2 linked regions of the Callithrix jacchus genome follow. The protein of the gene in region 1 interacts with the protein of each later gene in a pairwise test. Links are inferred from orthologs where the notes say so. Each region holds a gene or a part of one and is shown on either strand. Other genes may lie near its edges. The genes, in order: TPR and NUP153.

Region 1 (3,820 bases):
ACTTTTTTTAGAGTAATTACAGGCCAACTCTTCCATATGATGACAAAAGCAGGTCTGTTGTGATTCTTTTGTTATTCTTTAACACAGTGCTGCTTAATTTTGAGAGGTTACAGACTCTTTTGAAAACACTAGCTGACACTAATTCTGTACCGCATATGCAAGTCACTTTACAAATGTCATTTCTAACCTATACAGTATCCCTGTTAAGCATTGTCTCTGTTATACAAATAAGAAAACTGAGGCTCAAAGCATGTTAAAATAACTTGCTTAAACTGCACTACTTTGGAAGCAGCTCAGAATGGATTGGAAGCCCTGACTTCAGCCCATAGTCTATACACTTCACCAGCAGTATTCAGTTTCAGCACAGTCCTGGGAGATACTCAGATGACTTGTCAGCTAATGAAGTTTGCAAATAACTTAAACTGGAGCAGATTCATGTTATTCTTGTACCATCTCCCTCATTTGTGTCTTGAATGGAACAGAGAAAGATGGAGTTGTAGCCACTGAGCCAGGATTTTTACATACCTATTGCCTGTGTCATCTGGGCTAGAGTCTGTGGTTTAGTTACTAATATACCATTTAATAGTGTGACTTGTGAACTTTTTAATACTGTGCTTTCGTAAAATGTTTTGAGATTTATCAAAATCTGGACCATATATTTTCTTATGAGTGTCAAGATGTGAACAACCTTGTCAAAAGGAAAAAGGAAACATAAAAAGAGGAAAGTCATAAACTAAAATTGGAATGTGTTATAGTGAGAAAAGGAGTGAGGAAAAAGCAACTGTTTGAACTGTTTTCCCCTCTGCTCCTTTGAAAAATATATATGGTTACCAAATCAGTCTGTAATTTTTTTCTTTAAGGGAGCTCTGGATTACTTAAGTAATCTTAAGTGATAACAGATTTAAAAGAGTAGAAATAGGATAGACTCTAGAATCAGTTTTATATTTTCTAATTAATTTTTCTTTTCCTTAGTATTAGTTCAGAAGCAGGCCTAGAAATTGATAGCCAACAGGAAGAAGAGCCGGTTCAAGCCTCTGATGAGTCAGATCTCCCCTCCACCAGCCAGGATCCTCCTTCCAGCTCATCTGTAGGTGAGTCCCTGCCCTTGACCACAATACAACTTTTATGCATCAAACTTGTTTGTGAGAACACTGCTTTCTTAGTAACAACATATTAGTAACAAATTAATAATCATTGTTTCCTTTATTTTAAAATGCTTTATTTAAAAGAGAAATTTTATTATTAAAGGGAACTTGGTTTATATTGAAATCATTATTCTAAGACTATTCTGGCATCGATAATAAGAAATATGGACATGGTGAATCCATCCCAAAAGAATAGCTCACTCATGTTTCATCTGGAATAATGGTTGTCGACAGATGTTCTGTAGAGCTCTTGGGTCTTTTAGAGGTGCTGTTGGGGTTGGAGTCGATGGGTACACTGGGAGGGAAGCTAAGGAGTGCTAGGGTGTGCCAGGCCCCTTGCCTCTGTTTGAACCACAGTCGCTCCATTTTTATTTATTCTGCATACTGGGATTCTACATGAGATTTGATGTGGAGAGTTGAGGGGTAGGAGTTCCATTGCTTAAAAAAAATTGTTTGAAATTTACTGAGGTAAACAGTTTCAGAATTTGACTTTTCAAATTTTTGAAGTTAATTTTGAAAAAAGATGTATTATTCCTGTAATAAAAGTTTTTTTTAGAATGACAGCATTTACTGAACACTTACTGTGTATCAGGCAGTATTCTGAGCCCTTTACCTATATATACTCATTTGATTCTCACAACTCAATGTGGTAGATATTCATCCACATTCTATAGATGTGGAGGCTGAGGCACAGAAAGGGTGAATAGCCTCTTCAAAGTGAAATAGCTAATAAGTAATGGACAAGCAACAATTACACCAAAGAAGTCTGGCTCCAGAGACTCCACTCTTAAACAGTACAATGTGGTAGCTTGTCTACTTCAGATTCTTAGACAGAGAATTACCTTTATTATTAAGGATTTACAGTAGTTGGTCATTCACTCAGATTATTTTAATTTTGAATTGTTTACAGTGGTAATTCTCAAACTCTGCCATGGAACCTTCAGATTTTATGGCACACCTGCTCAGTTATTTATTACTTTTTCAAAATCACAGAACTTTGCTATCCCAAGATCTCTTCCCCTGCCTCTCAGCTGCTTTGATATGACACATGAACCTATTGGCTAACCTCCCTGAGTTCAGATCCAATATCTACCTTTTCATATCTGGTAACTTTAAATTTCTGTACATTTATGTAATATGGATACTCATAACTAATCTTGCAATCAGGATTTAAAATAATGTATGTAAATTATAGAACCATTTCATAGGCAGTAAGGCTCAAAAAATTTATAACTATCATATTAATAATTACTGAGCTTTTATGCCCCCGGTTATATTTTGATGTCCCATAAAAATTGGCTTCCCTCAAGAGAATTGGCACTTACTATATCTTATCAGAACTTTCATGAGAAAATATGGTTGTTGGTCCCTTTGAAAGTATCAATGAAATTAAGATGTCTTTAAATTTGTTTGATAATGTAAAATGTACTTCTGAGTAGTTATTCATTTGGTCAACAAATAAATACTTGATAATGTAGCAGGCAGTTTCATAGGAAGCATCACTAAGAGAAGGTGACATTTAAGTAAAGACCTGAAAGAAGAAAGGGATCAAAGCTGGGCAGTTATTTAATAAAAAGCATACTGGATCGAAGAAAATACTAACAGATGTCAAGTCCGTAAGGCAGCAGGTATCTGCTTGTGTTCAGGGTCAACAAGGAGGCCATGTGCCTGAAGCAGAGTGAATGAGAACAGAGACTAGCAGGAGATATATTAGGGGCGGGAGAGGATAGATCAGGCACATCATTGTAATTGCCTTGGCTCTCTCATGGATACCGGGAGCTATTGGAAGGCTTCACACAAATAATGACCTGACATTATCTGATCAGTTTGGCTGCTATGTACAGAAGAGATTGGAAATGAATAATGGACAGAAACAAGGACAAACTTTGGAGGCTGTTGGAGTAATTCAGGAAAAGATAGTGGTGGCTTAGGTGAATGGTAGAGTTGGGGTTGTGAGAGGTAGTCAGATTTGGGATATATATTTAAATTTGAGCATTCAGAATTTGCTAATGATTGCGTTTGGGGTGTCTGAAAAAGAAGAATCAGATATAATTTGTGTTCTATTGTAGGCTGTTGCTGAGGGACTTGATATTTTGTTTTCTATTGTATTTCTCAGCACCTGGCACTATGCTTGATACAGGAGGAGTCAAGAAGTAAATATTTATTAATATAAGTGAAGAAATGAAAATAGTCAAGTGCTTCTGTTTTTTCTGAGGCAGTGTCTTGCCTGTTTCCCAGGCTGGAGTACAGTGGCTTGATCATAGCTCATGCAGCCTCAACCTCACCTGGACTCAAGTGATCCCCTAGCCTCAGCCTCCTAACTGGGACTGTAAGCATGTTTTACCATGCCCAGTTAATTGTTTTATGATTTTGTAAAACATAGGGTCACGCTGTGTTGCCCAGGCTTGTCTCAAACTCCTGAGCTCAAGTGATCTTCCCGTCTTAGCCTCCCAAAGTGCTGCTTTTATCATTGTTGTTGTTTAACCATTTACCCTTTTTGGTTTGTTAAATGTTCCTCATTGTTTAAAAAAAGAAAGAAATACTGAAAGCAAATGGACAAGTCTGCATCTTATTCATGCATTCATTTAGTAATTAGTTTGCATCATTATAAATGCTTTCTCATTTTTGACTTCCTTTTCTTTTAATGTTTTTCGTAGATACTAGTAGTAGTCAAC
Region 2 (4,481 bases), on another chromosome or scaffold:
TCTTGTAGACTTTCTGGCTTCCAGAGTTGCATGAAGTCTTGGTCTTTGCTCTTTGGCCTGTTTCTTCTTTCTGGAATCGTTAGACTCTTCTCTTTTGCCTCCAGTGTTCTGTTACATCAGGACGTCTTGATGTGTATCCATTTTTATCCTTCGTGTAAGGAGTGCAGCATGCTCTTTTGTGAACATTTTGGGGAATTTTCCAGCATTATTTATTGAAGATTTTGCCCTTTATCATTCCTTTCTTTCTCACCTTTTATCTTTTTGTTGTACTTTCTGAGATTTATCTTTCATTACCTGTTCTGTTGAGATTTTAACTTCCACTATTGTGACTTTAATTTCCAAGTACTCTTTTTTATTTTCTGGATGTTTCTTTTTTATGCTCTGTGTTCCCCCACCCAGTCCCCCAGTGGATGAAGTATTCATTAAAGACACCGAGTTTGGATTTTTTTCCTTGATGTTTTGTTTCCTTGCTGAGTCAGTTTTCCTAAAATTACTTTTATTATTTTTGTCTCAGTGTTTCTTATTAAATACTGTCCTCAAATGTCTGGTACTCCTTGGCTACCTAGTTAACGTTTTTATGAGTGTAGGACACTTAAATACCACTTAAATCCTTTCTGTGTTGATAGGGCTTGCAGATCTCAAATTTCATTGTAGATTTATCTGGTTTCTCTATTTCACTAGATGAAAGGATGTTAGTATCCTTCTTTCTTTCCACTTAGTCTGTCAGATTCCCCAGAGAAGATGCATCCAGTCTCCTGCTTGGAGGGCATCAGGGAACTTCCATTTGCCAGTGTTCTGGAAGTTAAGATTTGGAAGATGGCTGGAGCCCTTAGTATTTAATGAATATTGAACCTACTCTTAATTCCCATTTTCAAAATGATATTCTTACTGTTAACTATATGTGGTATTCCCCAGTCCAGACACTTGTACAAAGACTTCTGTTCTGGTGAGGTGAAAGAGGAGAATTACTGTCTTCTTTTTTTTTTCTCCTTTTGAGATGGGGTCTCACTCTGTTGACCAGGCAGGAGAGCAGTGGCACAATCCGGGCTCACTGCATTCTCGACCCCCTGGGCTTGAGATCTTCCCACCTCAGCCTCTTGAGTGGCTGGGATTACAGGTGCACACCATTATACCCAGCTAATTTAAATAATTTTTTTATAGAGATGAGGTCTCTCCATGTTGCCCAAGCTGGTCTCAAACTCCTGGGCTCAAACAGTTCACCTGCCTTGGTCTCCCAAAGTGCTATTACAGGCATGAACCACTGCACCCCACTGAGAATTACTATCTTGGTGTTGGGAGGGGAGGGATTGGTCCTGGATATCTGCTATCCTTCCTTTCTCTGTCTCTCTCTCTCTTTTTTTTTTTGAGACGGAGTTTCGCTCTTGTTACCCAGGCTGGAGTGCAATGGCGCAATCTCGGCTCACCGCAACCTCCGCCTCCTGGGTTCAGGCAATTCTCCTGCCTCAGCCTCCTGAGTAGCTGGGATTACAGGCACGCACCACCGTGCCCGGCTAATTTTTTGTAATTTTTTTAGTAGAGACGGGGTTTCACCATGTTGACCAGGATGGTCTCGATCTGTTGACCTCGTGATCCACCCGCCTCGGCCTCCCAAAGTGCTGGGATTACAGGCTTGAGCCACCGCGCCCGGCCCCTCTCTCTCTTTTTTAATTCCTGCCTTAATTCTCACTTCCAGAGGTATTTGGAACCTAAACGTTTTGGGTATGTTTGGTATAAATGCAATTGCTTCTGTTCTTTACCTGCTGCTAGTTCCGTATCAACTCTATCAGCCTTCCAGCTTCTAAACCTTTGTTGCTGTGGTCACCTCTCTCTCTATCTTTGTAAAAATCCCTTGTTGTTTTAATGCACTGTTCAAAGAAGATAGAGCTAAATGTCTTTATTGATTTCACTATCTTTAACCAGAAGTCCAGGCTGCCCTTTTCCCCTTGGTCATAGGTAAGTTGTGTGATTTGTTGGAGGTGTCAAGTATGTACTGTGTGTTAGTGGAGAAAATATTTTAGTTTTCTTTGGATTAAGAGACCAAAATATCTTAATTGTCTGCATGTGTTTATATGTAGAGGTCAGAGTCATTAATTTCAAAACGTATCATTTTGCCCTAGTGAAGTATTTCTGCTTCAATTCTTATAGGTTCGGTTTTCCAGTTCGGCAGCAGCACTACAAATTTCAACTTCACAAACAACAATCCATCAGGAGTGTTCACATTTGGTGCAAATTCTAGCACACCTGCAGCCTCAGCCCAGCCTTCAGGCTCGGGGGGCTTTCCGTTTAACCCGTCTCCAGCATTTACAGTGGGGTAAGAGAATTTTTTATTGAAATGGAGAATTTACATTGGTTAGGGTATGTACATGTATATATTTTGTTTTCAAAAGTTACCAAGATCCAGTATGGTTTGGGTAAAATTAAATATGTTCTCCAACATAAATTGACCATACTGCAATTCTGGAGGATTATATTATAGTTTGAGAAAAGAAACAGTAATGCGTGTGTTAGGTATAGCAGAAAATGTATATAACAGTTGCTGCTGCTCATGGTAAATGTTAGGATTCGGAAATTTTGCTCCGAGCATCATACCACATTATGAAGCTTTTATTTTTTACAGGTCAAATGGGAAAAATGTGTTCTCATCTTCTGGAACTGCAGTCCCTGGCCGCAAGATAAAGACTGCTGTTAGACGCAGAAAATAAAGGTCACATTGGTGTTATACGCAATTTTAACAGCTCGTGCCTGCTTTCAGATACTGAGTTGGACTTTGCGCTAGGGTTATCTGAAGTCAGATCTGCCTAAGGACTTCTTTAATTTTGGATTTTTCCTCCTTTCCCTTTCTTTACAGAAGCCCCACCCTGCTTCATCTACCCTCTTTTTAAAAATAATAGCTAGACTGGTGACTGATTCTGCAGCAAAAATATTTTATGATCCAGCAGATTATTCACTGATTTGACATAGTCTGGCTGTTCCCAGGAATGGAGCCTGCACGGCAAATGGCTTTGTATAGAACCTCTTTGTCTACACCATTATGTGCGCTGATAAGCGTTTACGGAACGCGTTGAAATTGTAATTATATCTGAGGAATTCTGTATAGATTAGAATTCTGTATAGATTAGAGAATGTTGAAATGGATGATTTCTATGCTGAGTTTGTGCTGGTGTATGTGTGAAGTGAGTGAGTTGGGTGTATTGTGCACTAAACTTTTCTGATAGAGGAAGCCTGATTAAAGAATGGTCCGTGCTAAGGACTTGTTAGATCTAGTTCATTCTCCATTTAATAATTACATGCTATTTCTATATTTTCATTCTTCTATCACCTGTCTTGCCTTTTTCATTATTTTATTATGAAACTTGTGTAAATACAATTTTGTTTCTGTACTTTTTTGGCATAACATAAATCTGTGAACTTGAAATTTGAATTTTGTGTTAGAGATTTTTTTGTTGTTTGTTTAGTCTTGTCTCAGATTTTATTATATAAGTCCCATTATTCAAAGTTGCCTAAATCCATTTGGAAATCTTTAAAAAAAATTGGAGATTCTTAAAGTTGAATTTATTGGCTTTTCTGATCCAGTTTTGTTTGGACCAAAAACCAGTATTGTACAAAGTATTAAGCATATATTTTTATATTTACTAAAATGGACTGTGGTGACTTTGGATAATAAGGAAAAGTTTAATATTAAAGCCATGTTTATTACAGTATAATTAACATGTTAAACCATGGGATAAATGCCATCAATAAAAAATTATGACATACTTTTTGTTCTAGTATTACCTCATAATGAAGGTACACAGTCTTATTGGGACAGGACTATTAAAAGGTTAACAGTGGCTCATTAGAAGATAAATGCCAAAAAGTACATTGACATGATTCAGAAAACTCCTAAGAGAAGGGGAAAGTAATTTGCACATCAATTTACATACCTTTAAAAAACAGTTGAAAGTAAACACACATCCATTTCACTTTGTGCTTGTATCTTCCTTGGTAAGTTACTGGATAGTGTAAGTATTATTTTATTGTTTTTTTTAACTGGATTGTTTTCCTGTGGTTCACAAAAGAATTCTTGGAACAGTATTTGGTAATTTTATTTTTCAGTTTGAATGTAGTTATTTTGTGCTCAGTTTTAATTTGCTGAACTTCTGGTTGGTTGAAGTTTCTTTCTTTTCCAAGATGGAGTCTCTCCCTATAGCCCAGGCTGTGGTGCAGTGGTGTGATCTTAGTTCACTGCAACCTCCGCCTCCCGGGTTCAAGCAATTCTCCTGTCACCTTCCCGAGTAGCTGGGACTATAGGCGTGCACCACCACACCAGGCTTTTTGCATTTTTAGTAGAGATGGGATTTCACCATGTTGGCCAGGCTGGTCTCGACCTCCTGCCTCAGCTAATGTGCCCACCTCGGCCTCCCAAGTGTTGGGATTACAGGGGTGAGGCACCTTGCCCAGCCTTGCTTTGGGTTGTATGCTACATACACAAGTGAAAACTG

What was found.
Region 2: the proteins of TPR (region 1) and NUP153 interact in a two-hybrid assay, tested with the Homo sapiens proteins (3 studies listed by BioGRID, with this or other methods). The link is inferred for Callithrix jacchus from reciprocal best matches to the Homo sapiens genes TPR and NUP153.

Annotation. Positions count from the first base shown.
Region 1 is NC_133519.1:44,340,383-44,344,202, reverse strand, and holds part of TPR (nucleoprotein TPR), read left to right. Parts: intron 1-972; coding exon 973-1,091; intron 1,092-3,802; coding exon 3,803-3,820.
Region 2 is NC_133505.1:13,137,889-13,142,369, forward strand, and holds the end of NUP153 (nuclear pore complex protein Nup153), read left to right. Parts: intron 1-2,145; coding exon 2,146-2,311; intron 2,312-2,617; coding exon 2,618-2,702; 3' UTR 2,703-3,755; downstream 3,756-4,481. UniProt on the Homo sapiens protein: Component of the nuclear pore complex (NPC), a complex required for the trafficking across the nuclear envelope. Functions as a scaffolding element in the nuclear phase of the NPC essential for normal nucleocytoplasmic transport of proteins and mRNAs.